Oryzias latipes: one gene and its partners. Each later gene encodes a partner of the first gene's protein in a complex. Links are inferred from orthologs where the notes say so. Each region holds a gene or a part of one and is shown in the gene's direction. Other genes may lie near its edges. The genes, in order: gpkow, snrpe, armc7, ppil2, cript, rbmx2 and rbm48.

Region 1 (4,266 bases):
CATATTCGCGCTCGGCATGTCAGGTCCTTCCTTCTCCCTAAGTCTCAAGTCTTCAGATCACATGGGGTTTCTTCCAGAAAAGCTATTTAGTAGAGCCAATAACTGACGCCCTATTAAGAAAATTAAAAATTGCATTGATTAGAGTGAGTGAAGGTGTCGGAGAGTGGAGGCAGGCGAGATCAAGCCGAAAATATACCAAGGTTGACGCCTCACTGTCGTTAAATGCGATCTTGTTCTGAAAGAACAATCCACATGTCTCATGTTTGAAGGTTATCTCGAGAAGTTCCAGAACACAAAGGGGAGGGCAGGAAAGAAAAGAGTTCAAGTACCGCCCCCTAAAACAGTCTGTGCACTACCTGGATCTGTGGTATCACCTTTCGCTGTAAAGTCTCACTTAAGGCAGGAACAGGAAGGCAGACATAATGTGAAGGCATGTTTAAACCAGATCATCTATCTATTCAGTCCAAACAGACTGATAACAAACTCGTACTATTTTCGTTCTAAACTACAGAAAAGCAATGGGAGAAAGATGTTACATTTTAAAATTAAGTTTTAAAAATCAAGTTTAATTTCTGATTAAATTTAGTTTTGGTGTGGCCTTTTTCTCATGATGGTGGACATATATAAAGAAATAGCACTTCTGAATATACAGTCAAATCGTTGTGAATCAAATACTGATGGGAAAATATTTGTTCGAACATGAATGTCTGTTTTCCCTGTCTGAGCTGGCATCTGGCTCAAAACTGTACAGTTCGATATCTCCAATACTGGTCACCATTTTTGTTGCACCTCTATTGTTAGGTTGGGGTTGTGAGGGGCTGTAAGCGGGAGAGAGTGTAAACAAAAGGATGATGGGAAATGAAATGAGGACAGGCTAACCCTGCTCCAACATTCCCATCTACAAGTCACAAGTCATAGGCGAATTTCTGATTAAATACTGCAGCTCTGCAGAACCTATAGCCTAGAAAACGACACAGATTTTTTTAAAATTCCCCAAAATGGCATCACCATAAATAAAAGATCACTGGGAATGCGTTTACAATAGATCAAAAGATGATTGGAGTTGGGACTTTAGATTATAAAATGAATCAATCAAACTGGTTAGATTGATCAAACATTGTTTACTAGTTTGTGTTCAAGGGGTCAGAAATGAGTGTCAAACAACTTGATCTAAAGGTCTAGATTACTTTTTTAACTTTCTTTTTTTAATTTAAGCATCTAAAACACAAGCAAAATATGCTGAATGTTTTTGTATTAGTAAAATGTTTTTACTCTTTATGGTTTTTTGTATGTAATATCATTTATTAAATCACTTTTACATTAGTTTAATTGATTTTTGTCATTACTTTAAACAGCTAAATATAAGCTATGTAACTTTACGCTTTGATGCTTGATGGGCAATGTAGTCAGAAAAACAAAAGAAACGCTTGAGGGCGATGACCAACACTACAACTCCCACAATACACCGCTTCAGCGTGGATCTTCAAAAGCAGTCATGGCGGCTCAGGGAGAAGGAACAGCGGCTTTTAAATCTGTCCCATTTGAGGACAAGGGCCAGAAGAAAACATCGATGGTGTCATTTGGGTTCACAAAAACAGTTAACAAATTTAAAACCCCCAGCGCGGAGGAGTCGAAGAAGAAAGAAGAAAAAGATTACTTGACCGGGATTCACGAAAAGGAATTACAAAGGTAAGCTAATGCTAATAACGCCTAGCATCAACGTAGCATTTGCGTTTCCGAATCTATGAGTAAAATGTCTTTAATTTAACATATACGCTCTGTGTTTGTTTCTTCTTTATTTAAACAGGAGAGCGCGTGTTTTTAAGTTGTGCTGTCTTCTGGTTATTTTCATTTTTTTGTGTCCTTCAGCTCAAAACAAACGGAGAAACCCAAAGAGCTCATCATCCCTCTGATCCAAAAGAACCGCTGGCACAAGCCCGACCGAGCGGGCCAGAACACGGAAGATGACGGTAAAGCTCAAGAAAAAGGCCAAGACAGCGACTCTGTGGAGTCCCAGGCTGTCAAAGAACTTATTGAAGGTAATCATTAAAGCTTTAAATGTCATCCCTTTATTTAGTTCCTATCATGGAGATGTTTACTCTAAATGTTTCTATAAAGCTCTTCTAGGAAAGTGAAAGGTCTAATTTAGGGTAAAGGATGTTCTTAGCATAATAAATTGACAGATGCGTCTATTACTTAATCTTAATGGATCAAAATGTAGATGATGTGTTATTTTTTTTACAAAGTTCACCATGGTTTTATGATGCCCTGGACCCACCTCTGTTGCCATAGAAACCTGAGGTATCATCCTCTACAGACAGGCACACACTGGTCATATCACGTGATTGGACCAGTCTGCTTTGTTTTTATTCCCAGTATGACATCCCGAGCCCCAAGTATTTCTTGTGTTCTCATCCTCAGAAACTGTATCTGTTGTTTTCTGAATACAGTAAATGACGACGGAGTTTTAGGGCCACCAAAAAAAAAAAAAAAATTAAAATTACGACATTTTATCTCGTAAATTTACGAGAAAAAGTCATAGATTAACAAGGAGAAGACACCGAAGTTGTCCGTTTATCGGATCATCGCTTGAAGATGAAAGATGTGGAGCCTTTTGTGAAGCTTTATTTTCGGATTATTATAGGTTTAAAACAAAGATTCTGAACCTTTGGCGACTCAAAATCAGATTATTGTCAGTAAAGGCGGCTTTCCGAGGTTCAGTGTCAGCGGAGTTTCATATGTAAAATAAGGACCTAATACTCCGTCGTAGTGAATAAATCCTCCTTTTAAAAACAAAAAACAAAAAAAAAAGGTTTGTTTAACTGACCTAAAATTATCAGACATTCCATCCATTCATTCTCTAAACCTACTGAATCCCCCTCGGGGGATAGGGTTGCTGGAGCCTGTCCCAGCTACTGATGGGTGACAGCAGTGTACACCCTGGACAGGTCGCCAGTTCGTCACAGGGCCACACACTCACTCTTAAGGGATCTTTTAAGTGGACTGCTGGAGGAAGCCGGAGAAAACCTACTCCGGTACAAGGAAAACATGCAAACTCCACCCGGGATTTGAACCAGAGCCTTGTCGCTGTGAGCCAAGGGTGCTAATTAATGCCTACATTCTCAGGCTAAATCAAATCTTGTATACTCAATTGAAGCCTCTTTTTCTTTCTAATATAGGGCATTATAAGGATCCTATAGTGACAACATTTTCAAAGGCAATTTTTCAGATAAAAGACTTCAGTGTCACATTTCTAGATGTGTACTAATTACTTACAAATGAGTAAATGACTAAAGAATTCTTAAAATGTTTGCATCAAAAGTTAATTTACTTTGTTGTTCAATAAAACCAAAAAAAAAAGACAAATTTCTTCCTCAAATACCTGAAAAAACTCACTGAATAAAGGATATATTTGTGCTTAAAATCTTTAACGAATGTGGGGACCTTTTGTTGATCACTTTTGTTGCCTTTAACCTCTCCAAGTTTACAGTTGAAAGGTCCTGGTTTAATGTCAAAGCTGCACCTACTTATTTGCAGTGCTTCTATATCTAAACTTTAATTAATAAAGAAATATAAAGACTCATCAGCTCTCTCATGTCTCAGATTCCCGGAGGCAGCTGGAGCAGTGGCAGAATGGGTCTGAATCAGAAAAAAACCTGAACCTTTCCATCCCTCTGTTGATGCAAAACAAAGTGCCAGAGGGCTTCGAGGATGGAGACCTAATAAATGTGGGGCTACGTCCTGAATCCGTAAGTGTATTTCATGACCTTTTGTGTGTTTTCCATAAAGGAATCATTAATTCTTTGACCGCATTTCCATCGTATGAATGATTAAACAAGTCCTTCGACTAGAACAAAGATTTAAATTGCCCACTATAAGTTAAGGAATGCATATTAAACTGGATGAACAACCTAAAAGCTTGAAGTCCTAGTCCGATCATATTTTGATCTATTGTAAAAGCTTTCCCACGTGATGATGCAGTTTTTGAAAAACCTGTAGTTTTCCAGGACATAGCTTATGCAGAGCAGCAGGAGTTAATTCAGAATTTGCGTCCGAGTTGTAGTCGGGACCAATGGCACAGAGCAACCCCGCCCCCCCTTCCTTTCCCCATAACTGAGGGGATGAAGCGGGGAGCTTGTGGCCCTGCCAGCATATTTTTTCATCTGCTCCTGATTCACAACGATTTGAATAAAGAAATACTCAGAGATGTCATTTTGAACCTTATTTTCTCAATATATGCCCTCCTTCATGTGAAAAATGTCACAA
Region 2 (4,014 bases), on another chromosome or scaffold:
GGAAACAAATTTCGCACACTTAGGTGTGTGAGAGAGAGTGGGGTTTAATTTAATTTAATTTAACACACATGTAATTAGAAAGTCACATACATGTTTTTATGTTTTATATTCTTAATTTAGCTCACAAAAATCTTAGGTGGGGAAAAAACACTCCTCAATGGAGCTCATGTTCCTGCTAAATTCATAGGTCTGCATCTGCAGGTGAAAATATATTTCACATTTAATCAAAAACAAAAGTTATGCGATAAATTCTAAACCTTTTTGAAGAAAGAACACTACTGAACAAGAAGAATCATTTGTACCTCTCACCTTCTTGACTAAATACTTTTATAGACAACTTCTTTAAATCGACTGCACTTTTTAACAATGTTTATTGTAGAACTCAGATTAGAACTTTAAGTTTATTTATAAGGAAAGTGAAGTGAAACCTTTTACTAATGTTCATCTTGGGCTCGAGTTGTTTCTTATGTTTTTGTTTTTCTCTGCTGCCCTCTTTTGGATAAAATAGGTCACTGCTGTGACAGTAGAACCTGGTCAAGATAAATGTTTAGGAAATAGTTTACAAAATTAAACTCTAATATTGAAAACAAAATTACTTGTAAGAAAATAATAATAATAAAAAGTTTGAACAATTATGGAAAAATTACAAAAATTATCAACAATTTTCACTTATTGAATTTGTGTTGCAAAAACAACTACAGTAATTACATATCTGTATGCTTGTTAATATTATGTGTAATAGGAAAATAAAAAAATAAAAATCTAAATGATAAATTAGACTATATACATCCAACAATTGAACATCTATGAAGTAAATGACGCTATATCCAAACTAGTTGATGTATCAATATTTAAACCTTCTTTTCTGCTATATGAAAGCTGTTCAAATATTATTGGTACTTGTGTTAATCACTGAAATTAATCCAAGCAAAAATAAACGATTACTGAAAATGTACAAGAAAAAAGTCGAAGCAAAACCTTTGTATTTTTCCCTTCAGGATTAAGAAATAAATATGTACTGAAACAGACGTTGACAAAAAATATGGTGACTCAAAAACAACTTAATTATTAAATTTAGCCTTTTAATTGGTACCAGATGTGTTTTCATACTTTTTATAAGTCATAATTAGTCTGCATATTTGAAGGATTTCACACTGAACGTAATTTTTGACCAAATATCAAATTGTGCAGTATTGACATCCTGCCTGTAGGTGGCGCTTGTTCGGTGAAGGGAAACCTTTCAGTGCAGGAACCGGATGCGGAAAGAAACCCGCCATTAAGGCAACTTGGCATCGTGAGCTGAACGTTGAAATCATTCAATTGTAAAAGGCAATATTTCTTTAACGAAATACTTCTTGCGTGTCTTTTTTGCGTGTGAAGAGAATGGCTTACCGAGGACAAGGACAGAAGGTGCAGAAGGTTATGGTGCAGCCCATTGTATCCTTTCTTTGCTGTTAGCATTTGTTAGCAGCGATGCTAATCGGTTATTTCTCGTGTTTGCTCATCGGTAAACTGTATTCCTTTTTTTTCTAGGTACTACATGACTTTCTAAATACATTGGAATGCATATTTACTGACTTTTTTTAATTTCAGTATTGAAGCACGTATTTTTCTGTTTATCGATCAAATTTAAGCACGACGTTGTACTTCGAAAGAAATTGAATTTGAAACAAACATTTTTAGCATTTTCTAAACGTACATAGCAATATGATGGGTTATCAATTTACTATTATACATTTTACAAAAATACGTTTGTTTAATTGGAAAGAAGAAAACAATGACACGTTTACCTTTGGCAGAGTTTTCTTTTAGTGAAAAAAGAAGTCAACAATCGAGATGTTGCACTTAACGACTTAAACTAATAATATTAGTTAAATGCACTACTTTGGTCTGATAATTAAATGTTCTTTTGATTTGTTGTAACAATTGGTCATATTTTGTAGTTTTTTATTTGGTTTTTAACTTAACTCAAGTTTGTCCCTGTGAGTGTGTGAGACCTGTTTTCTTATTTTTCTTGATTATGAAGTGACATGTCATCTATAAAAAAATAAAAAAGATGTTAAAGAAATTAAGAATACCATTAAAATTTGACTCGTAAAAAAACCCCTAACAAAGTCAATAAATAAGAGAAAATCTAATGCCAGAACCCGTTTTAAATCCATTTTTAAGCGTGTCTTCAGTTGTTTTGACATGGTTGCCCTACAGTTTACGTTATAACGTGGATACATCAGCAGAAGTTAAATAGTAAACTGTAAAACTCTAGAACAATTGCAGAATTTCTGTAAGCTGGTAAAAGGCATAACTAACGTTAAAAGACCGCCGATAATACTTCAAAAATAGATCAAAATGATCTGAGTGGGACTTTCGAGCAAATTCTGCGTCATCCATAGCTTTATTTCATCATTTCGGTCATGTAATTGGTTTGTGAAGTCCTTTTTCACTGGCTTACATTGAAATGTATGACATTCACTGGTATTTAACAGGATCTCAGCTCTCCGGTTAAAGTGCAAAACAGTTTGTGTCACTCTACTGAAATTGAAATGACTAGTTCATGTTATTTGAAATATCTTCTGTAACATTGAAACGGTTTAGACATGTCATTTCCTTGACTCTGTTCATCAGAACCTCATTTTCAGATACCTTCAGAACGTGAGTATTGAAGGCTCTTGCAGGTTCACCTTTTGTCTCGGTGGTGACTGAAATACTGATTCGTGTCATCTTTGCTTTGCAGCGCTCACGAATCCAGGTGTGGCTTTATGAGCAGGTGAACATGCGGATAGAAGGCTGCATCATTGTAAGATTTCTCTTTATTTTACTTTCACAGTGTTTGTTAACTTTCCAAATGTGTGCCACAGTTACTTTAAAACTGGTATAGACTGTAAAAACGATCGACGATTCCAGGTTTTCCTTCTCCGCTCCAAAAGGGGGAACAAGAGAAAGTTTGAGAACCACTGACCTAGCATTTTAGTTATTTTTTTTATTGGAGCTTGGTAAAAGTTCTTAATGGCTGGTGTTAGATCCACAATAATCAACTTAAAACTGTTTTGCAGAAATTTTTTCTACGACTATTTTGGGGCTCTGTTTTAGCTGCTTTTGCAGCGGGCACCTTTCTTACCAGTAGAGCAGAACTCTGCAGCTGATTTAAAAATGTATTTGAAAACGGCAACAAAAAAAACACACACTGGTTCAGACTCACAATACAGTAGGTAAATGATCAATGAGAACAGCATAATGACAAACTAAGCATGAATTAGGAGACCAATTGAAATTGCCGGTCCTACACTCTTGACACTTTAATCTATTTTCAGAACATTCTCGGTGATCTTTTAACTATGATTATGCTGTTTTTAGCCGAAATAAAAACAAACAACCTGTGCCGTTTTCTTGGGGGGGAAAAACCTTGAGAGCCTGAATTTAAATGAATCCAAACAGCTTCAGTTATGAAAGTAGTTAATTGATTATTTCCTTTTTATTTTATTTTCCAGGGCTTTGATGAGTACATGAACCTGGTTCTAGATGATGCTGAGGAGGTCCACATGAAGACCAAGAACAGAAAGCCACTGGGTAAGACTCTTTAGCTTGTTTAATTTGTTAAATTTCAGTTACTATTTTTTGATCTTAGCAGTTATTAGAACAGCTTTATTTATTTATTTTACAATGAAAAATTTGAATATTCTTTGTATTTATTAACATGTACTGTTAGCTTTTGTTTCTAGAACTGCTGTAACAAAATATTTGTTTGAGGAAAACATAGAAATATTTTTCCAGTCAGTATTTATTTGTTATACACTCAGGAATGTCAGTTTTTAAAATGTCAAGATAAATTTCTTTCCTTGTTTCACAGGTCGGGTTATGTTAAAGGGCGACAACATCACCTTGCTGCAGAGTGTCTCTACCTAGTGACACCAGTGACGACTGCAGATCCTGTCTTTTTTTTCTGTTAACTGCTTACGATTTTATGCATAAATGTGAGTTTCTCTACAACCTTTGAGAATAAATGGCTTTGTTTTTTTC
Region 3 (4,185 bases), on another chromosome or scaffold:
GAAAAATACAAACACAGGACACAAAAATAAGCTGCATTTTAAACCACAAAATGCAAAAATGGGCTCTCTTTAAGACAGTAACCTGGTTTGGAAAAGCACAATCTGCAGCTCAAATTCTTTTTAAAACTTTTTTTTAGAAAAGGAATCTCTGCAGCAGTACACCAACTAAACCAGAGCAGATTTCACACAAAAAAATTTAAAAAAAATTTAAAAAATGTAATCTGATAAAAGCAGCTGCACTAAGTGTCAAAAACGTGACACCAATGTAGAAAAGAGAAATTTGTGAAGTGAAAAAGCCCCCCACTTCCAATAACACAATATGTTTTACAAAAAAGATTCTTATTTTAAAGATATATTTTACAAAGACATTTATTTAGATTTCTTTAATTTATTTTAAATAGTAATTGCACTCCAGGTTGTAGAAGATACTGGTCAAAAACTGAAATTATGCTAAATAATCTACTAATTAAAAACATTAGTGTCTCATTACAAATGATTACTAATTATAAATTAAAAATGCTGTTACCTGCAGTCTTACACTTATATAATTAAATGTTAGTATTTTTTGTGGTGCAAAGAAAGAGTATGTGTCTGTGATGCCTTGCTTTGGAAATAAAAAGGGCTACAAAATAAAAATAGTTGTATTTTTCCTATTACTAAAGATATTTAAAGACAAAATTTCCTGTTAATGAAATTATGGTTTGGCTCCAATGTTAATTTGTACTTAAGGACAGTACAGACATGTTTTCAGTGTTTTTCTTAAACTTGATTACAATCAAACGTCAGCGTCATTACGCAAGGACAACAATCTCCAACGTTAAACACATAAAAAAATATTCTGAATATATAGACTAAAGTCTATATTTGCGTTATAACTTTCCTATTGTTTTATACAAAATAAGAAAATAGATCACCTGTTTATGTAAACAGTGGCAAGTCCAACAATGATGCTCCCGAACAGAATAGGTTTCGTGAGCCTTTTAGCTGCAGAGAGCTTGTGAGGCTTCATTGCTGCAGAACTTTAAATCAGAAGGTTCACGGCATAGAATCCAAACAGCAACAGAAACGTGAGTTTGTTTTCAGCTGACCTTCCTGCGCGTGAGTTAGTTAGCTGAAGGGACGTTGGAGCGCCTCAACTTCCGGTCCAGCACTGACGTCTATGTCGACAAAGAAGTACCGACTTCCGTTTGAGAATTGAATTTCGTAAAGTAATTTGCTTTTATCGTCTATGACAAAAAGTAATCATTTAATTAAATTAAATCAAAGTGATTTATTACCGAAACATTATAGGCCTAATTATTAAAAATCACAACGTTTTAAGTGATAAAATAAATTGACAGCTCTTTTTTATGTAAGAACAGCTTAATTCTACTTTTGGGTTTCATTTTTAATTGTTATTCTGTTGCGTTAACAGTTCATCCAGTCTTCAGAAGAAGAAAAAAAAAGAGTCACGAAACAATATCCCGGAACCACTGTCCAAATTCTAATTTAAGCCGGACGTATTTGAAAGACGGACAAAATGAACGAACTACTGAAACCAAATGCATAAATGAGGATACTATTTCAAATGTATTTTATTTTTTTGTTTTAATCGCGCGTTTGTCTTCTTAAAAACACAATATAAGATACTGAATGATGAAACGGAACTTTTCACCCGAAACCTCTGACCGGTTTGAATATTTACAGGCTCTTGTCACAGAGTTTCAGGATAGTGACAGTGAAGGTAAAAACACAAATAGCTCGCAGATTCATTTAGAAAAACTAAGAATTATTGCTAGTTTACAACAAATTCTTTGAAATTAAATTGTTAATGCATAAACATTGTAATGAAAGCATGTCTTACTTATATCAATCCATGATAGTCACTTTATATATATATATATATATATATATATATATATATATATATATATATATATATATATATATATATATATATATATATATATAATTATTTTTTTATTTTTATTTATTTTATTATATATATATATATATAAACTACAAAAATTTAATTTTTAAAATCTGAATGCTTAGAAACAGGACAGATTATTCAGGAAAAAAACAATGCATTTATCTTTTAAGATTTTTTTTTTTAAATAATTATGCTTTAGTAATTCTGACGATCATGTTTGAATACTAAATTAAAAATGCATAATGACGTTTTTTAAAAATCAATAAAACCAAAATTTAACAAATGCCATTTAATGATTTATGCTGATAGACTTTTGCAGCCTTTTATATGCAATATATAAAGGATCAAACTACATATTATTGTCCGTCAATAATTTTTTAGGAATGCAGGTCTTTAGTCTTATTTTTAATGTTGAGGTGTAAAAAAGCGCCCTCTGGTGGATTAAATTTATCTTGCTTTTGGTCCTTGTTCCCGTTTCAGTCATTAATGTCCAGTATATGTAATTTAATTGAATTTGAATCTGATTCTGTGTTTTTTATTTATGTTCTGTTGTCGTTAGAGGCAAAGGAGCAGGTTTTGGCAAACCTCGCCAACTTTGCTTACGACCCAAAGAACACAGAGTATCTGCGACAGCTGCAAGTGACCGACCTGTTTCTGGATATGTTGACTGAGAAGAACGAGAACTTTATTGAGTTTGGAATGGGTGAATCTTTTTAGATTATCATTTGGGTTTTTTTGTACCATAAATGCAGTGAAAAACATTTTTTTTGGTCTAAATTTTCTCAGGTGGGCTCTGTAACCTCAGTATGGACCCAGACTGCAGGGACCTCATCCTGGACAGTGACGGCATCAGCTTAATCACAAACTGTCTGTCAAACCAGAGGGAGGAGACAGTGCTATCAGCAATTACTACCCTTATGAACCTTGTGACTCCAGCTTCACAATCTCAGCTCACAGAGCCAGGCATCTTGCAGTGCATGCTGCGTTTCTCTCTTGCTGAGAGTCCCCGGCTGCACAACCTAGCTGCTGTGTTCCTGCAGGACTGCTGCACCAAGGATCAGGTCAGGCAGGCCGAGCAGCAGATGCAGGGACAGCAGATGGCTGTTGGGATCCCACTACCCAAAGACTAAAGACTTTGCTTCACAGTCAAGTGGAAACAAACAGTGACCGTTTTGGTTTTATGATTGTTTAATTTCTGGTGTTTTCAGCAGATGTTGAACCGATCTGGAGGATTTCCTTTGAACAAAATCCACCCTAAAGTTGGTTATGAAGAGAGGAAAATTAAGCTGCTTGTCCAGGTCTTGCACCTCCTCTCATTTGCAGCTGGAGTTTGCACAGGACTCATGTCTTCACTGGATCAGAATCTGAATATTAAGATGGTTTTTGTATGTTTTTAAGCACAAGTACATTTATAAAAGTAATTTGAAATTTGCTCAAAACAGGCTTCCAGCAAAATGAGTATATTTGTTCTCATGGAAAAATGGTAAAGATGTGTTTTACTAGACAGAAAATAATTCCTTTCAAATGTTGGACACCAACTGAAAAGGTCAGATACTCATCAAAGGAAAAATGAGGGAAAGTTTGTCTGTAGTCGTATTAGATTTAAAAAAAAAAGACATATAGAAACCCAAGTTATCCTGCTTTCATGGGAGGAATACGTTTCTACCAACTGTCACTAATCAGCAGAAATACCAAACCTCATGGAAGCCTAAGTTTGTGGCTTTCTTAGTCTGGATAATTCAGGTGTCTTTTATTGAAATAAAAAAAATCTACAGAAGTTCTGCCTTCGTGTGAGTGTTTGGCTCTCCTCCCTTTAGTCCTGACTTGGGCGGCATGATATGAGGAAAATTTGCAACATTGGTGATCAATATTGCGATGACAATATACTTGCTACATATCAACAAATAGCAAAAACAGCTGCATTTTAATTTTACAACAACAAGGGTTAACCCTTGTGCTATCCTAGACATTTTAACGTTGGGAGTTGGGTCATCTAGACCCACTAGACAGTGCGCTAAACCTTTTTTCTTCAATGATTTGTGATCTTCACTGGTGTCAATGGATTACATGACATCTTTCCACCTTTATCCACATTTGTCATGGTAGGGAGAACACGTCGATGTAAGGGTGGGGTCATCTAAGATATCACAAGGGTTTCGTAAAATGTAAATAGTTTCAATTATTTACACTCCAAATGACCCTCGTCTACCTATGAGGCGAGCATCTAACATAAAAGGGCTCCATCCGATTGGTCAAATGCACAAAGGGATTTA
Region 4 (3,500 bases), on another chromosome or scaffold:
TAGCTTGTTGTTTGGTTGTTTGTAGTTTGCCTGTTAGCTTGTTGTTTGGTGGTTGTTAGTTTGTTTGTTGTTTGCCTGTTTGTTCTTTGTTGTGATGGAAGCCGGTCTTTGACAGGTTCTAAATCTGTTTACAGCAGATGGGTTTTGATGTGAGCTTCTCCTTCTTTGTTTTTCTGCATTTTTCCGTCTGTACTTTGAGAGAACAGCATGTCTATTGGTTTAGAAATCATTGAGTCCATGCAGAAAGTAAACATGACACATTTGCCTGTGTCCCCGTCCAGGCCCACTACTCAACAGGCCGAGTCTCCGCCTCCTTCACCTCCACAGCCATGACTCCTTCAACCATCCATGAAGCCGGTAAGCTAGGATCTGTTCCTGTGGGTTCTCCTCTGCACGTCAGCCGCTGACCTGGTTTTGTCTGCTGCTTCTGCTGGGATGCAGCCGTGTTCACTGACTTTAAAAAGATAAATGAAAGGGAATAAAAGCTATTATTATTGTTTATGTCATTGTATCCTGAGGCGGTACATTAGACTTTCTATGAATTCTAATAAGGCAATGTTTTTTGGGTCCACTGGATTTCTCTCTGAAGCAGAACCGGCTGGTCCAGTCCTGACGCTCCTCTAAGGCTGGATTCAGACTGGACGCACTTGGTTCACGTAAAGTAAACCAGAACTAGTCTGAATACACCAAAGTGGACCCTGATCCAGAAGGATCAGGGTCCACTGGGACCCATCGTTTGAGGTGGTCTCGGTTATTTCCAATCGGACTGAGATCCAGTTCGCCCTGCGTTTCCACTGTCTGAACCCAATCTGCTCAGAGAGGAACGACTGAACCCCAATATGTCTGAGGCCTTTGGAGCGGCCCATGTGTGCAGCGGTCGCTGTTGTCTGCACGTTTCAGGTGTTCGTTTTTTTACCGTTGTCTTTGTGGCAGACGCCATCGCCGATGATGCTGTGCGGTACCAGTACGTGAAGAAGAAAGGCTACGTCCGCCTGCACACCAACCTGGGAGACCTGAACCTGGAGCTGCACTGCGATAAGGTGACGTCAGACGCTGCGTTTAAACCCATGCAGCCTTTATTGATGCCGTAGTCGTTTTTTATTTGATCTTTTTTCTCTGTTGGTACTAAAAACATCAGAACCATAAAACAAGAAACACAGTTTCCTTTCTTTTAAATACCGTCGTCATGACGACGTGGAGCGTTCGGCTGGTTTTTGGGAGTGTAGGATGGAAGTGGTGCAGCATCAGACCTGGAATGTGTTCGTGTCTGACCGTCAGTGTTTGTCTCCCCCCCCCCCCCCCCCCCCAAACCAGGTTCCCAAAGCTGGAGAGAATTTCATCCGTCTGTGCAAAAAGGGTTACTACGACGGGACCGCCTTTCACAGGTCCATCCGGAATTTCATGGTGAGGAAGAGACGCTTTTAGCAAATGAGGGGAGAAGGCCTGCACAATATACCGCAAATTTATCGTCATCGCAACATCAAGCTGTGCAACATGCATACCGCAAAAGACGGCAAAAATCGCAATAAATGGTTACCTCAAATTTGCAAAAACAAACTCATGGCAGCCTGAAATGGTGAACAAATGCAAGTAATCCCTTTATGCATTTAACCAATCAGAAGGACCCGTTTACGTTTTTGATCAATCAGATGAGCACTTTTATGTTTGATGTTTGCCTCCTATGTCGACAAGGGTCATTTGGAGTATAATTTTTATACTGTTGCAGTGAAATGGAAATGATGTTTTTGGTTGTTTGGCTATTTGTTTATATACCGCAAATTATATCGTTATCGCGATTTTAATCACCAATATCGCATATCACGAGTTTTCCTCATATCGTGCAGCCCTAGAGGGGAGGTCTGCTTCTGCTGAACAGGCCGGGTCCCAAAGGTTTGAATATTTGGAGCGTCTGCTGATCAAAAGCTGCAATAGATATTCACATATTTGGGTACTTTGATTAAAGAGGAAACGTCAACCCAAACCCGTTCAGATCCAAATCAAGTCCAGCTCCTTTTCCAAGCTCCCTCCGTCCTCCTCCTCCTCATGAGGAGTCGGGGGGCAGCAGGCTAACCGCTGGTCTCCAGTCCTCCATCCAGAGCCTTTCTCCAGATCAGTCAGGGAACCCCAAAGTCCAGGCAAGCTGAGGAACACGGTTCCTCTGGGTCTCCTTCCTGGGGGAGTTTCCCTGAGCAGCGGCTCTTTGCTGAGCTCCTCACCCTCCCTCTAAGGAGCAGCCACTGCCTCCCCCCTTCCAGACGTTTGCATCCAGGATCTCCTCCTGGTCCGACCCAGAGTCTGTAGGTGAGGGGAGGAACATGGACTCTGCTCCTCCTTCACTACGATCCACCCGTCAACCTTTCTGCACTCAGACCTGAACGTCTCCACGTGGAGCAGGAGCTCTGCACACATCCAGAGAACGGGTGATGGAACACAGCATCTCCATCTTCTAAAGCTGACCCTTTCTCTTTCCAGATCCAGGGAGGAGACCCGACCGGCACCGGCACAGGTAGGCGGAGCTTGGACCGCTTTCAGTGGCGGAGCGGCTCTGAATGACTGAAGGTCCTCTTTAGAGATGCTGAACCTGTGGGGACCTGAGAGAGGCACTCAGGGCTGCCAAAGATACCGAGGGGCACTTGGGGTGGGGGCAGTCTGTCTGTCTGTGGGGGGGGGACCGGGCCCATTATCTTCTATCTACTTGCTGCCACTGGGAATGCTGTTTCATAAGGTGAACTTCCACCTTATGCCGACGACTGCCACATGTTTGTCGCTATATGTGTGAGACCCGACCACATGACACCCATCTTGGTCTCTTTGAACGGCGGCGGCGGGTTCTAGGACCAGCGTTCCTCTTCTCCTGGAGGCTCGTCTCTAATGAGACGGAAACGTATTTCTGTTGTCTTTAGTATAAAATGCATTTGGGATCAGATGAAGATCCTCATTGATCCAAACCTGAGACTGTTGCTGCCGCAGAAACGCACAAAACTCTCCACAAAGAGAGGGAAGCTCCATCTCCAGCTGGACATCCCATAATGTTTCTTAGCTGGAACCCTGTGTGGTCCGTGCACACGGCTGCTGGATCTCTTCCTTTAGGGCAGGTTTGGTTCTGAAGTCTCTGTGGGTTCGGTTCTGCTCAGGTGGCGAATCCTTCTGGGGAAAACCCTTCAAGGACGAGTTCCGGCCCAACCTGTCCCACGCGGGCCGGGGGGTCCTCAGCATGGCCAACTCGGGTCCGAACACCAACAAGTCTCAGTTGTAAGGAACCTTGGTCCCTGGAACCGAGGAAACCCAAACACGAAACTGAATCTATGTTCTTCATGTTCTCTGGGCTGCAGCCTGGAGCAGATCTTCTTCAACGTCTCCTCCTCCTCCTCAGCTTCATCACATTCCGGTCCTGCCCCCACCTGGACAGGAAGCACACCATATTTGGAAGGTACCTTTCCAGAGGCTGATCTCCCACAGATCCAGCTTTGGGGCTGCTCTGATTGGTCGTCTTCTCTGCA
Region 5 (4,042 bases), on another chromosome or scaffold:
GGGGCTCCATAAAGGACAATCACAGTGTGGAAGAACAGACATGACAAGAAAAAGTACAGACAGGCACGAAACAGCCTGGAAAGCTGTGGAAAGAAACAGGATTATCATTATTACCAAAAAGTTACAACGTAGACATTTGAGAAAAATCCACTTAAAAAATGAACAATTTTTATATGTAAAAGCTCAGAAAAATTATTTTTTTATATGAGTTTGTTGTAGCAGAAAAATGTTAATAAGCAACAATTGCATATAGACTGTCATATGAATTTAAAATGTTTAACGTGAAAATAAAGCACTGTAGCAAATGTTTATAAACTCAATTAAAAATGTGTTCAAATCAGAAATACACATTTCTAATTATTACTGAAACGTCCATTTGCAAATTTGTTTTTTAAAAACGAGACAAAACGTTTACGAGTAAATAATAGGAATTAATTGTTTTGAAAAACCTAGTTTTCTATTATTTTAAATTGTGTAATAATTATTTCTGATACTTCTCTCATATACGTATGACTATTTGGCAAAAACCTTAAACAAATCAAGCACATTTCTTTGGGTTTGGACAAAATAAAGACATTTCCGAGGGAAGACATTCTGACCTTATATCCAAGTGTATTTTTTTTAGTGGACGGTGTGACGCCGAGGAGCCAGAAGACGACGACACTGACAGCATTCACAGCACCGGATGTGCAGTACAGCCACAACAGGTGAGTGCCGTACACCGAGAAGCTTAGAACAAAAACTGCAGGTAGCACCGTAGCCATGAACATCGAAGCGGCGATCAGAGCGTGGGTCGACACCATGGCTCTGATTTCGTGGTCCCACATGATGAAGACTTTCACTTTTCACAACAAGACAATAGAATAATGTAGATAATTTCAGTAGAGGTGTCTTAGAATTTTGGTAGGCGAAAGGACACGCAAATCCATGTATGACTACGCTTCCGTAAATATGAAAAAAAAAAAGCAATTTCCGTTTGCGTTTCACAATAAAACAGAAGATTCTCTTTTGATTGTTAATTTCTACCAATTTCTTTGTTTTGACATACATTACCCAACATATTTAAATCATATTCAACACTTTATAATAAAATACTATTTTCTAAAGTGAAATTTATATTTTCGAGTGCTGATTCCGTGGCGAAAATATTGTTACTCTCATTTTACTTTTATTCTGGATTTTAGAAATGCGCTTCTAGTCGGAGTGAACGAATCACATAACGTTTTACTGACAGGATTACCCAATGAGATTTGTTTGTACAAGTTGACGAAGACAACCGGAAGTTACATGAGCAGAGCTAGCTTGAACGCTTGTACACATTTTATATCAAGACAGGCCAAGTAAACGCAGCTGAGATGGTTTGTGAAAAATGTAAATATCGCACTTTCGCCTTGTTTCTTACATAATTTTACACTTATGACTTAGTTAATATAGTTAGTTAGTGACATTTTTGTTGTTTTGTTGAGTGGCTAATATTTTGTTATGCTAGCATTTGTTTTGGTTTTCCTTGCTCGTAGTTAGCTTTGTTAATTATTAATAATTCTTTGTTAATGTGGGATTTCCTAATATTTTAGGCGAAAAGAAGCTCGGAAAGGTCATCACTCCTGACACTTGGAAGGATGGAGCACGAAATACGACTGGTAACGTAGTCTCTATCCAAAAACATCCAAAAATGTTTACACGTTTAATAATTTAGACAATCGTGGAACGACAGGTAAAATAAATATGTTGCCCCCAAAAAATCTGTCTTGTAAATGAACGTCATTAAGGAATCGAAACGATGGAAGGAGAAGCTACTGCTAAAATATTTATTAGAACAGTACTCATTTACATATCTGTTTTCCCCGTCGGTCGGTCGGTCGGTCGGTCGGTCTGTCTGTCTGTCGGTCTGTCTGTCGGCTCATTTTCGGCCTACATCATAAAATTGTCTATTTATTTAAAAGTATTTATGCCCTACGTTCCTTTTCAAGAAAATGGTCTGTGACCCTGTCGTACCAACTAGGTGTCTCAACTGACTTGACCAATGTCCTCTCAATGGCCAGCAGAGCTAGGCTGCTTAAACAGCCTTAGCCCATTGTGTTTCGGGTGTAGGACTTAAGTCACTTTAAACAGGAGAAGCTCCTTTCTACACCTGCAGATGTAACTCCAATTGTTGCCACTAATGAGAACAGTTTGTAAAGCTGAGGCATTGGACTGTCCAACTCCATGTCTTTAAGGAACACCAAGTAATCATACAGCTTTCCCCTGTTACCCTGCAAGTCCTGATCTGAAAACAGGACTTGAAGTTCTGACCTCAGTCTTCCTGAATCAAAGGGAAGAATTAACTATCTAAAAAAAAATATTAAACTCTGTAAAACTGAAACAATCAATGTGGTGTATAATTGTGTGAAATGTATGATGAAAATCAAGCAATTTAGCCCAGCAATTATCAAAGAAATAGGTTGCAGCAGTTTTTAGTTCGACTGAACTTGAGAAATGTGAATAAGCGAAAAGCTTCAGTCAGAAGGCGGTCTTTTAACAGACCCTTCAATCATCACGGAGAAGCTCGGAGTTTGGGCTGGCCCACTCCCCACTCACCCCCAGAGACGCTGAGCATCCGTTGGCGGGACATAATCACAGCGTTTATCCAATGACCATCTAGTTTCGAAGCGCAGAAAAAAAATGTTCAAAGCAGCCCGATTGAAGTCAATGGACGCTGGGCTTCTTTAGAGAAATGCACTGTGATGCTGCGGGAATGTATGAGAAGGAAATCGAGTCAGGCGACTTGCTATATGTAACTGATTCTTAACGAACTCGTCTTTGAGATGAACGTTTTCTTACACATTTTTAGTCAATAAAATGTTAATAAAATAAAATACAATACAATACAATAGTACATATTTGACCATTTATTTTGTGACATTATAAGGGAAGCAGAGCTTCCCTTGCAGTCTTAAAGAAATCGCCACTGGTATGTATGTATGTACATACATGTGTATATATAATCTCACAATGTTGTTTTATTTTTCTTAGAGAGTGGAGGCCGTAAACTAAATGAAAACAAGATGTTGACATCTAAGAAGGCCAGGTGAGTATTGCACTGTGAAAAAACTTTTACTCATAAATCAAATGGCAGTGTAGTAGTTTCTAGCTTTCTGTAAGCACTAGTGGTTTATTTTGCTGTTAAGGTTCTTTGATGTTGCTAATTCTCAATGTTTAACTGTGGTTTTTCTCAGGTTCGACCCTTACAGTAAGACGGGCTTTGCCATCTGCAGAATCTGCAAGAGCTCTGTTCATCAGCCTGGATCGCACTACTGCCAGGGCTGTGCTTACAAGAAAGGTATAGTTGTGCACTTAAACTCTATTTTTATTTTCTTCAATACAAATTGAAGGTAACATGTCAAAAATTAACACTACAATGTATTGTAGAACCAAAAATCATATTAAAGCAGAACAGTATTAAGTAGGTTTTTCATTTTTATGTTCAGTCATAATATTGATATAAATTTGTCTGTAATTTTGTAAATCTTTACTATAACCAACATTGTGCTGGCATATGTTTGTGCTTCCATAACAGATGCCCATTTATATAAATGTACACATGTTGGCAAGTCCTTTATTATCTTCTCACTACACACTTTAATTTATAAAATATCCTTTGATGTAAATGTAATTTTTTTAGGGTTCCTGGTGACTGATACAAAGAATTTAAAGGTATAGGAATAGGTTAACTTAACTGTTTGTTTATGTCTGTAAAGTATTTGAACTGAGTGATGAAATTCAAACCTCAAAAGCCATATTTTTACAAACCTCGACCCCAGCCCCAAGCACTCGGCTTGCAGAAGTGGATACAAGGTTTTACATTGATTGCAGAATTGCATGTTGTGCCCCAAATATTGCAGGTTTTGATGAAGTGGTCAAAAATAGCCCCTGAGCTAAAAATTATGCCTGAATATATGCACAACCCAAACTGCTGTGAAACAACAACTAAATGGGCAAAAATAAAATATTTATTTATTGAGATGTTTGTCAAACTTTGCTATTCAAGTGAAACCCAAAGGCT
Region 6 (4,000 bases), on another chromosome or scaffold:
AAATGTTCCAATGTGAAAATACGTCTGGAAGCAGCATCACCATCATAAACACACTAAAAGAGGAATGGACAGACCATTTGGAATGATTTAATGAGAATGCATGGACGAACTCTAATTAACACATGATTCAGATAATTTTTAGGCCTTCAGAGAAGCCCATCACCATTGAAAATAACAACTTTAAAACACCTGTGTCTGACTGATGCAAAAAATGTACCCCAGATGGGCAAGTACAAGTACCCCTGCTAGAGTAAGTCTGTCCCAAAGGGGAGATCTTTCACTGTATAGCAGAACTGAACTTCAAAGCAGGATGATTTAAACAGAAGCAGGTGAGAGCTGAGAAGGATACAGTCTCTGAAGAGGAGGGGGTCGCCCTTCGAGGACAAGATGAAGAGCTGCCGGATCATCCTGCAGAGGATAGAGGACTGTCGGGGCAACAGTTCACCCCGGTGGGACAGCTAGGGGGAGTTTCAGTGCCACTGCAACATCTGCAGAAACAACATCTGCAGGAACACGTCCAAGTCTGTCTGCAGAACTGCAGTCAAGCCGAAATAAAGGAGAAAACCCCTGTTTATGGGGGAAATGACAAACAAGCAGCATCTCATATTCACTGCATGAAACTAGTTATTATGAGGAAAAAAATAAACTAACAATAAACAATCAGATTGTCTGGTGTGTGCTACTGTAGGTGTGCGTCACACATTAATCTCAAACGTGTTAAAGGTGACACTGAGTAAAGCGGAATAGGGTAAAGACAAGTCGAAGGAAAACTGAATTTACCTGAAAAGATGACACAGTTCAGACGTTTAAACTGAACTTTAAGTGTTTTAAAGCCATGCTAACGTGGAATTACAAATCATTTTCCAGTTCCACGTAAAATCTCCTGCAATGATGTCGACTCTAAGAAAGGGTGTTATTTAAACATTAAAAGCTTGAAAAACACAACACGCTTTAAAACGTCCACTGTCTGGTTTAAGTGTTGCATCCTGTTAAAAATGAACTGTTAGCTTGTTAGCGCCACCTGTCGTGCAGGCGGAAAGATTGGACGCTTGCTTTTTACAGACAGAACATTCAGCATTTCACAATTTCTTACAAAAATAAAATAAATACATTTCTTGTTTATTAAAAGCAGCATTCGGGCAGTGTTAGACGCTTCGCGTTCGCGCAGTTTTCTCGTTCATTTCATCTGTAGTTCGGTCATCCAACCACCAGGCGGCAGCACACGCAGAACCTCCACAGGAAGTGCACCACTTCTCCACGCTTGGTCTTTGGCACCATAACATCGCTGCTGTTCGAGCTCACCATGAAGTAAGTAAACGTTTCCCTCTACAGCCATTACATTAGTTTTTATTTTTCATTTGGTAGAGAATCCCTTTTCTGGTCGTTGGTTTCCTGTTGAGCGGATTCCAGCCGATAGCAGCAGGCTTTATGTTTCGTGTGTGTCGCCTTTTCCCCATTTCCATTCAAATTCTCCACTGTAGAACTTCAAAAACTTCTAAAAACTTCTAAAAAATCAAATTTGATTTTTTTAAACTTAATAGACCAGGTACTGAATAGCCACCTACTGAATTCGTACTTGCGTTTGATTGTATTTGCATTTTAGAGGTGTAACGATTGCATACCAATCAGTGGTTGTTGATGTGATTCAATCATTCGATAATTGTTCGTTTTATCCGATTCAGTGACCTAATGGATCCAGGACATCTTTATCCAAAACATCATCCAGTGTGACTCAGCGAGAAATACCTGCTACTGAAATGTGAAGTTTTCCAGATTCCTTAGATTTCTTCCAAGATAATCAAGTTTAAATTAAATATGTACAAACAAAGAATTAAAATCAAATCCATCCACATTTTAGTTTCCTGAAGTTCAGCCCACTGTTGTTTTTCCACATCCAAAGAATCCAAAGGGAACATTCTAGCACACTGTGTGGTCACATGACTTTCTAAATTCAGTTTTGGACTGGAATGATGGTTGATCAGTTTTTGATGAAATTACATGTTTTTTGTCTGCTGTAATGCACTCTGTTAATTTTGATTGTGTCTGAATTCCTTCAATACTCACTACCTAGGGGGCACTATGTAGTGCACTATATATTGCCCTATATAGTGCACAACATTCACCATGTTGTAGTGCTGTCCGAACCTACAATTTCAAAGTCGAGTGCCCTAGAAATTTCCCAGAAGTCTCTGCGAAAAAGCAGTGTGCATCGAGTGAATATAAACCACAATGCATTGCGTCGAACAGTTTTTGCAATTTTCTTTTTTTATGTTAGGGTGGGAACTTGGGGCACAGCCTTTATGTTATAGTAAAATGACCTCACCAGGTCTCAATCCAAACGGTGGTTTCCAATATCGATTCAATAGGCAGAGCTGAAGGTAGCAGAGATGAAGATGTTGAGGTTCTCTTTGGGAGAGACCAGGATGCATCAGGAATGAGTCCATCAGAGGAGCAGATCATGGTTGATATTTGGGACATGAATGCAGATGGAGATGGTTTGGAGGAGCAGCAGTGATGATGCTGAGGTTACAGAAACCAGGAAAGAGGCCTAGCGGAAGACCACAGAGGAAGTTCATGGATGAAGAGGAGGGCATGAGGGTTGTTGGTGGGGACGATAGAGGAGAGAGCTGGATGATTAATGTAGCAACTAAGAGACAAAGAAGATATGGTTGAAATCTTCATAATGTTCATTATGTTGAGATGGTGCATAAAAAAATAAATTGATGAAACATGAATATTAGAAAGCTGACCTTCAGGTTTATTTCACTTTGTTTAAATGAACAGAATCTTGACTGCTGTCTTCTAAAACACTGAAAGTTTCCTGCCGGTTGATTTGTTTCAGTCCTCTGACGAAGGTGAAGCTGATAAACGAGCTGAACGAGCGCGAGGCCGACCTCGGGGTCAACGAGAAGGTGTCGTGGCACAGCGAGTACCGGGACAGCGCCTGGATCTTTGTGGGTGAGGGGGCGGAGCTTCTCACAGGAACCTGCAGTAAATGAAGCGTGAAAGCAGGTGGTTGACGTCTGTTCTGATCCTGCAGGAGGCTTCCCCTACGAGCTCACAGAGGGGGACCTGCTCTGCGTCTTCTCTCAGTACGTACCCACAGCCTCGCTTTGGGGTGGGGTGGGGGCACACACCGCTTACTGATGTGTCCGTTCAGGTACGGTGAGATCGTCAACGTCAACCTGGTGCGCGACAAGAAGACGGGAAAGTCCAAAGGCTTCTGCTTCATCTGCTACGAGGACCAGCGCAGCACCATCCTGGCTGTGGACAACTTCAATGGCATCAAGGTGAGGCCCCCACCCCCCACCCGGGGCGGCGCCACTGTGAGCATCCTTAATGATGAAGCTCTTTCTCCCCTCCAGATCAAAGGACGCACCATTCGCGTAGACCACGTAAAAAACTACCGCCCCCCCAAAGACGGCGAGGACATCGATGATGTCACCAAACGCTTGAGGGAGGATGGCTGCGCCCCCACGGGCCCTGCCGCCCCCCCGTCCTCCTCTGAGGATGACGAGCAGCTCGTCATACCTGTGAAAAAACCCAAAAAAGGTGAGGTCACTTCCTGTTCTGTCATTTATGAGGGGGAGGGTCAGTTTCACCTGTACTCTTCTGCTGCAGACAAAAAAGAGAAGAAGAAAAAGAAGAAGGAGAAGAAGAAGAGCCGAGCTTCCTCCTCCTCACCTCCCATCCGAGTCAAAGAAGAAAAACGAGACACGGCGTACGACAAGTACGCCACGGGGGGGTCACAGAACGGACACAATGAGACGGAGAGGAGGAGGGAGGAGAAGAGGAGAGACAGAGATGTGGAGAGTAAGAGAGAGACTGAACGAGAGAGGGAGGACAGAAGGAGAGGAGAGAAGAGGAGAGAGGCGGACAAGGAGAGCTCCAGAAGATAGATGGAGGAGTAAAGAGAGGAGAATGATACATTCTCTCCTCAGCAGAAGAGCTCCCCCTGCTGGCTGACATCCTCCTGTAAACAAAGCTTCCATGAGAAGCC
Region 7 (3,815 bases), on another chromosome or scaffold:
CCAGTCATCAGATGACAGTGGCTCCACAAACACCTGATTCAGCGAAGAGACTTGATGGCATGGTCTGAGAAAACACTGTGAAAACCACTCAATGTCAGACCAATGTTAAGAGACTGTTGCACAGGCAGTGTTCGTCCCAGTTGATGACCTAAAGGAAGAAACCAAGGTCTTTACCTGTTCTCCATCAGTCAAACCGAGCTTTTCTCCAAGCTGCCGAGACAACTCCACTCTGTGGCTGTCTGCTCCTAAGGAGGCTCTGATGGGACACCAGCTAAGGAACACTGTCGACCCGCCGTCCCAAGACAGCTCCAAAGCCTGATTCTAAAACGGACCGGCCAAAGAGAGACGATGAAATAAGACACAGAATGGTCTCTTAAAGCGGATGTCGAAATTATGATTCCAACTTTATGAATGTTAGATACTTGTGATACCTTTATTAGTTTTTATTCTTGTACATTTTGTATCATTACATACATTTCAGATTTTATGCTCAGCAGAAGAATTAAATTAAAAAATTGCAAAAATATTCCACAGGTGTGGTAGCAAAATATAGAAATATTGAGATGATCACATTAGTTATTATAATAATCAACCTTTTCTAAATTAAACTATTTCTAGGAGTTAATGTGTTAAAAATCAAAACAATGCAGTTTCCTTTAGACTAAAGACCCCTGAATGAGGACAGTATTTGATGCCCAATTTCTATTTTTACCAACAATTCATTTTTTGTTGCCTTGCATTACTTCCTAATACTAATTAAGTACACGTGATAATAAAAAAATGCTCTGCTTTTGTTATAAGTTTTAATTAAGAAAAACTAAAACCTTAAATGCAACCAAAGGTCCCCTTGTAATGTCAGAGAAACAAACCAGCAATGTGTAAAACACAAAAGCAGTCATTATTCAGTAAACTTTATGCAACAAAACTGAAGCGATGTTAAGTAATTAGCTAATACTTTACCTCATTCAGAGAAAGGTGCGATATCAGCTTTGAAGAGAGTTGAATAAAGCAGTTTTTAGTGTTGTTAAAAACAACACATACTGGTTGAATTCCCTGGTTGCTAAACATGACGTTTACATCGCTATTTTAGCATTTAAAGTGCTTAACATGCTGGTGCGCTAACGGCCAAAGTGCAACAAACATTTCGATGAATGAGAGAACTGATCCAGACAAAACAGTCGATTGTCGATGGAATCGATCATTTCAAAATAAGACTGCCACGTCGTCAACACTACACGTTGAGTGCTCTGCACAACGGAATGAACTCTTGTTTTGAAATGCCACCAAAGCGGAAACGCGTTTCAGCAAACATGGCGGCAAATGTCAACAGTAAACCTGGTTGTTGGAAGGTCCCAGAAGTCTACAAACATCACGAACAACACAACGCATGTTTTTCTAGACCCAAATATAGAGATGGAAGGAGAGCTAAAGCAGTCAAGGTAAGAAAAACGTTTCTAATGTTTGTAGCAAAGACGGTCTGTGTTGACGCAAGCGACGAGCTAATAATTATGTGTAAGTTGGTTTTATTTTTACATTTAAGAATGTAAGAGAAAATTTTAAAATCTTTTTTTTTAACTGGAAGAAAAAAGTATAAATTGTAGTCACACAGCAAGTGATAAATAAAAGACCAACGGCAGGTCTTAAAAAAACAAATAAAACTGTCGTTTTGGCAAAAATAAATAAATAAAATTAAATAAAAGACATGGTAAAAAGTTTGAGTCATTTCGAAAAAATTGTAATTAATAAACCATAAAAATCAAATTTCTAATACAGTAGACTGGATTTCTGAGTTGCAGGAAAGTACATCAGATCTGATGATTATGTCTTTAAGTTAATTGATTTTTATTGGTCACGTCAACAGCCTCACATATACTAATAACCATGCCTTTGTATCTGCCAGGTCTACACAATAAATTTAGAGTCCCGTTATGTGATGATCCAGGGAGTCCCCGCTATTGGAGTGATGGAGGAGCTGATCCAGTTGTGTGCTCTTTATGGAACAGTGGAGGAATACAGACCGCTGGACGAGTATCCTGCTGAGGAGTTCACAGAAGTCTACCTGGTCAAGTTTCAAAAACTGACAAGTGCTAGGTATGGCGGGCACCTTAACTGTACTGCCCTAAACCAGAAATGCTGAAAAATATGTCATTCAGGTTGATATTTGATGTTCCAGAGCGGCGAAACGTAACATGGATGAGAAGAGTTTCTATGGCGGCGTGCTGCATGTGTGTTACGTCCCGGAGTACGAGTCTGTGGAAGACACCAAGTTAAAGCTGCAGGACAGGAGAAGTTATGTTCTGAAAGTGGCTCGGAGTAGAGGTATTATCGCATTTTGACGATATACGGTGTTGAAAAGCACTGAATCTTTTTTTTCTTAGGTAATTGTTTTTTAAAAGTTCAATGAAAAAAAACTGTGATTAAAAAATTTTTTTTGTGTATTTTTATCTGAAATCAAATGTTTTTTGTTGTTTTGTAAGTTTAAAGTATAGATAAAGAATTTGATGAGTGTCATTTATCTGTTTCATGTTTATACAGCAAAAGAAAGAGTAGCGGATGCGGTACACATGGAATCTACGTCTTCAGAAAGCGTTCCCACATCAAGCAGAGTTTTTGCTACAAATAATCCAATCTTCAATAGTGACAAAACAGGCGAGACTTCAAGCTTCAGCCATTGTTCCGGATTTCCTCTACTGCCTTTACCCCCGCAGGAATACTTTCATCAGGATTATCGTGGGAACGAACCAACAGAAGATCAAATGGGGACTTTACATGACGCAGTGCCTCCTGACGTAAAACAGCAGAAAGTCCAGAACTTTAGCTCTTTCAGTAAAGACCCTAATTCCGAAAAAAAATTGGCCTCCAACCCAGATTCTTCCGTCAAGCTTGTTCCAAGAACTGCACATTTGGAAAAGAACAAACGCCGCAAAATGGAGGAGGCCACAAAACAGCCAGTGCCTGATTCTGGAGAACCGTCTTTGATTGGACCAAAACTACCAGAACCACATAAGCTGGACATGAATGATCAGTCGCTAAACACAACAGTAAATCTGATCAGGGGCACAATGAAGCAGGTAGTCTTTTATTTTTTTTTTAATGAGAATTAGAGCTTGACATGATGCCATATTGGTGCATTTCAGTCTCATTCTTTTCATTCATTCCTAGGTGACATCGGTCCCAGACCTCAAACCAGCGGAGAAGAAGGTTAAGCCACGCCGTCGGATATGATCCATTCTGTTTTAGTGACGACTGTCCATATTTATCAAAACTAACGTTGAAAGGCTCAACTTAAAATAAAATTGTACTTTAAGAAAAACATTTTGGCTTTTTCTTTCATGAAAGTCTCAAAGTTGAACACCGCTTGCACTTCATATTTTATTATTCATCTTGCTGCTTTTCCAGTACTTGCTGCTCAAACTTCTTCTTTGTCTAAAAAGAAAGATTTAAGTTAAATAGATCCTTACAATATTTTTAAGCTCAGCAACTTTTGGTTGTGATTACCCTGAAATTGGGCAGGCAGCTTCCAAAGGCTTCAAGGAGTAGCTCCTCCTTTTTTACAGACTTCTCAAAATCTTGAAAAGACAGCCTGCCGTCTTTGTCGTGGTCCTGTGGAATCACAGGAAGCAATGTTGGCATGTTACCAAAATAAATCTGCACACATCAAGACAAAATTCTTACAATCAACATCGATCCAAATGTGACAAAGGCAGATGGGAGGGCAACATCTCACCATTTTTTTGAGGACAATTTCCATCAGTTCGTTGATCTCATCCTGTTCATCTTGATAGTCGTCTTCTCTGCCTTCCTCTTCAAGCCGC

The links.
Region 2: gpkow (region 1) and snrpe share a complex: the UniProt entries of both Homo sapiens proteins name them as parts of the minor spliceosome. The link is inferred for Oryzias latipes from reciprocal best matches to the Homo sapiens genes GPKOW and SNRPE.
Region 3: gpkow (region 1) and armc7 share a complex: the UniProt entries of both Homo sapiens proteins name them as parts of the minor spliceosome. The link is inferred for Oryzias latipes from reciprocal best matches to the Homo sapiens genes GPKOW and ARMC7.
Region 4: gpkow (region 1) and ppil2 share a complex: the UniProt entries of both Homo sapiens proteins name them as parts of the minor spliceosome. The link is inferred for Oryzias latipes from reciprocal best matches to the Homo sapiens genes GPKOW and PPIL2.
Region 5: gpkow (region 1) and cript share a complex: the UniProt entries of both Homo sapiens proteins name them as parts of the minor spliceosome. The link is inferred for Oryzias latipes from reciprocal best matches to the Homo sapiens genes GPKOW and CRIPT.
Region 6: gpkow (region 1) and rbmx2 share a complex: the UniProt entries of both Homo sapiens proteins name them as parts of the minor spliceosome. The link is inferred for Oryzias latipes from reciprocal best matches to the Homo sapiens genes GPKOW and RBMX2.
Region 7: gpkow (region 1) and rbm48 share a complex: the UniProt entries of both Homo sapiens proteins name them as parts of the minor spliceosome. The link is inferred for Oryzias latipes from reciprocal best matches to the Homo sapiens genes GPKOW and RBM48.

Annotation. Positions count from the first base shown.
Region 1 is NC_019865.2:21,307,798-21,312,063, forward strand, and holds the start of gpkow (G-patch domain and KOW motifs-containing protein), read left to right. Parts: upstream 1-1,466; 5' UTR 1,467-1,495; coding exon 1,496-1,689; intron 1,690-1,869; coding exon 1,870-2,039; intron 2,040-3,603; coding exon 3,604-3,749; intron 3,750-4,266. UniProt on the Homo sapiens protein: RNA-binding protein involved in pre-mRNA splicing. As a component of the minor spliceosome, involved in the splicing of U12-type introns in pre-mRNAs.
Region 2 is NC_019863.2:23,629,254-23,633,267, reverse strand, and holds the start of snrpe (small nuclear ribonucleoprotein E), read left to right. Parts: upstream 1-1,214; 5' UTR 1,215-1,383; coding exon 1,384-1,437; intron 1,438-2,622; coding exon 2,623-2,649; intron 2,650-2,731; coding exon 2,732-2,794; intron 2,795-3,485; coding exon 3,486-3,564; intron 3,565-3,844; coding exon 3,845-3,900; 3' UTR 3,901-4,014. UniProt on the Homo sapiens protein: Plays a role in pre-mRNA splicing as a core component of the spliceosomal U1, U2, U4 and U5 small nuclear ribonucleoproteins (snRNPs), the building blocks of the spliceosome.
Region 3 is NC_019877.2:19,373,009-19,377,193, forward strand, and holds armc7 (armadillo repeat-containing protein 7), read left to right. Parts: upstream 1-1,385; 5' UTR 1,386-1,632; coding exon 1,633-1,723; intron 1,724-2,471; coding exon 2,472-2,615; intron 2,616-2,698; coding exon 2,699-3,042; 3' UTR 3,043-3,689; downstream 3,690-4,185. UniProt on the Homo sapiens protein: As a component of the minor spliceosome, involved in the splicing of U12-type introns in pre-mRNAs.
Region 4 is NC_019867.2:622,324-625,823, forward strand, and holds part of ppil2 (peptidyl-prolyl cis-trans isomerase-like 2), read left to right. Parts: intron 1-281; coding exon 282-357; intron 358-933; coding exon 934-1,040; intron 1,041-1,314; coding exon 1,315-1,404; intron 1,405-2,472; coding exon 2,473-2,506; intron 2,507-3,134; coding exon 3,135-3,252; intron 3,253-3,373; coding exon 3,374-3,430; intron 3,431-3,500. UniProt on the Homo sapiens protein: Has a ubiquitin-protein ligase activity acting as an E3 ubiquitin protein ligase or as an ubiquitin-ubiquitin ligase promoting elongation of ubiquitin chains on substrates.
Region 5 is NC_019877.2:12,480,875-12,484,916, reverse strand, and holds the start of cript (cysteine-rich PDZ-binding protein), read left to right. Parts: upstream 1-1,242; 5' UTR 1,243-1,355; coding exon 1,356-1,371; intron 1,372-1,574; coding exon 1,575-1,640; intron 1,641-3,012; coding exon 3,013-3,067; intron 3,068-3,215; coding exon 3,216-3,319; intron 3,320-4,042. Other genes in the region: pigf (phosphatidylinositol-glycan biosynthesis class F protein), read right to left, coding at 1-83, 600-827. UniProt on the Homo sapiens protein: As a component of the minor spliceosome, involved in the splicing of U12-type introns in pre-mRNAs. Involved in the cytoskeletal anchoring of DLG4 in excitatory synapses.
Region 6 is NC_019872.2:23,468,251-23,472,250, forward strand, and holds the start of rbmx2 (RNA-binding motif protein, X-linked 2), read left to right. Parts: upstream 1-1,200; 5' UTR 1,201-1,303; coding exon 1,304-1,308; intron 1,309-2,842; coding exon 2,843-2,958; intron 2,959-3,040; coding exon 3,041-3,092; intron 3,093-3,160; coding exon 3,161-3,290; intron 3,291-3,365; coding exon 3,366-3,552; intron 3,553-3,621; coding exon 3,622-3,899; 3' UTR 3,900-4,000. Other genes in the region: ap4m1 (AP-4 complex subunit mu-1), read right to left, coding at 350-407. UniProt on the Homo sapiens protein: Involved in pre-mRNA splicing as component of the activated spliceosome. As a component of the minor spliceosome, involved in the splicing of U12-type introns in pre-mRNAs.
Region 7 is NC_019869.2:21,761,754-21,765,568, forward strand, and holds rbm48 (RNA-binding protein 48), read left to right. Parts: upstream 1-1,262; 5' UTR 1,263-1,277; coding exon 1,278-1,439; intron 1,440-1,900; coding exon 1,901-2,091; intron 2,092-2,173; coding exon 2,174-2,319; intron 2,320-2,535; coding exon 2,536-3,071; intron 3,072-3,077; exon of another isoform or gene 3,078-3,162; coding exon 3,163-3,225; 3' UTR 3,226-3,315; downstream 3,316-3,815. Other genes in the region: pex1 (peroxisome biogenesis factor 1), read right to left, coding at 1-75, 175-321, 961-1,068; efcab1 (EF-hand calcium-binding domain-containing protein 1), read right to left, coding at 3,376-3,426, 3,499-3,603, 3,728-3,815. UniProt on the Homo sapiens protein: As a component of the minor spliceosome, involved in the splicing of U12-type introns in pre-mRNAs.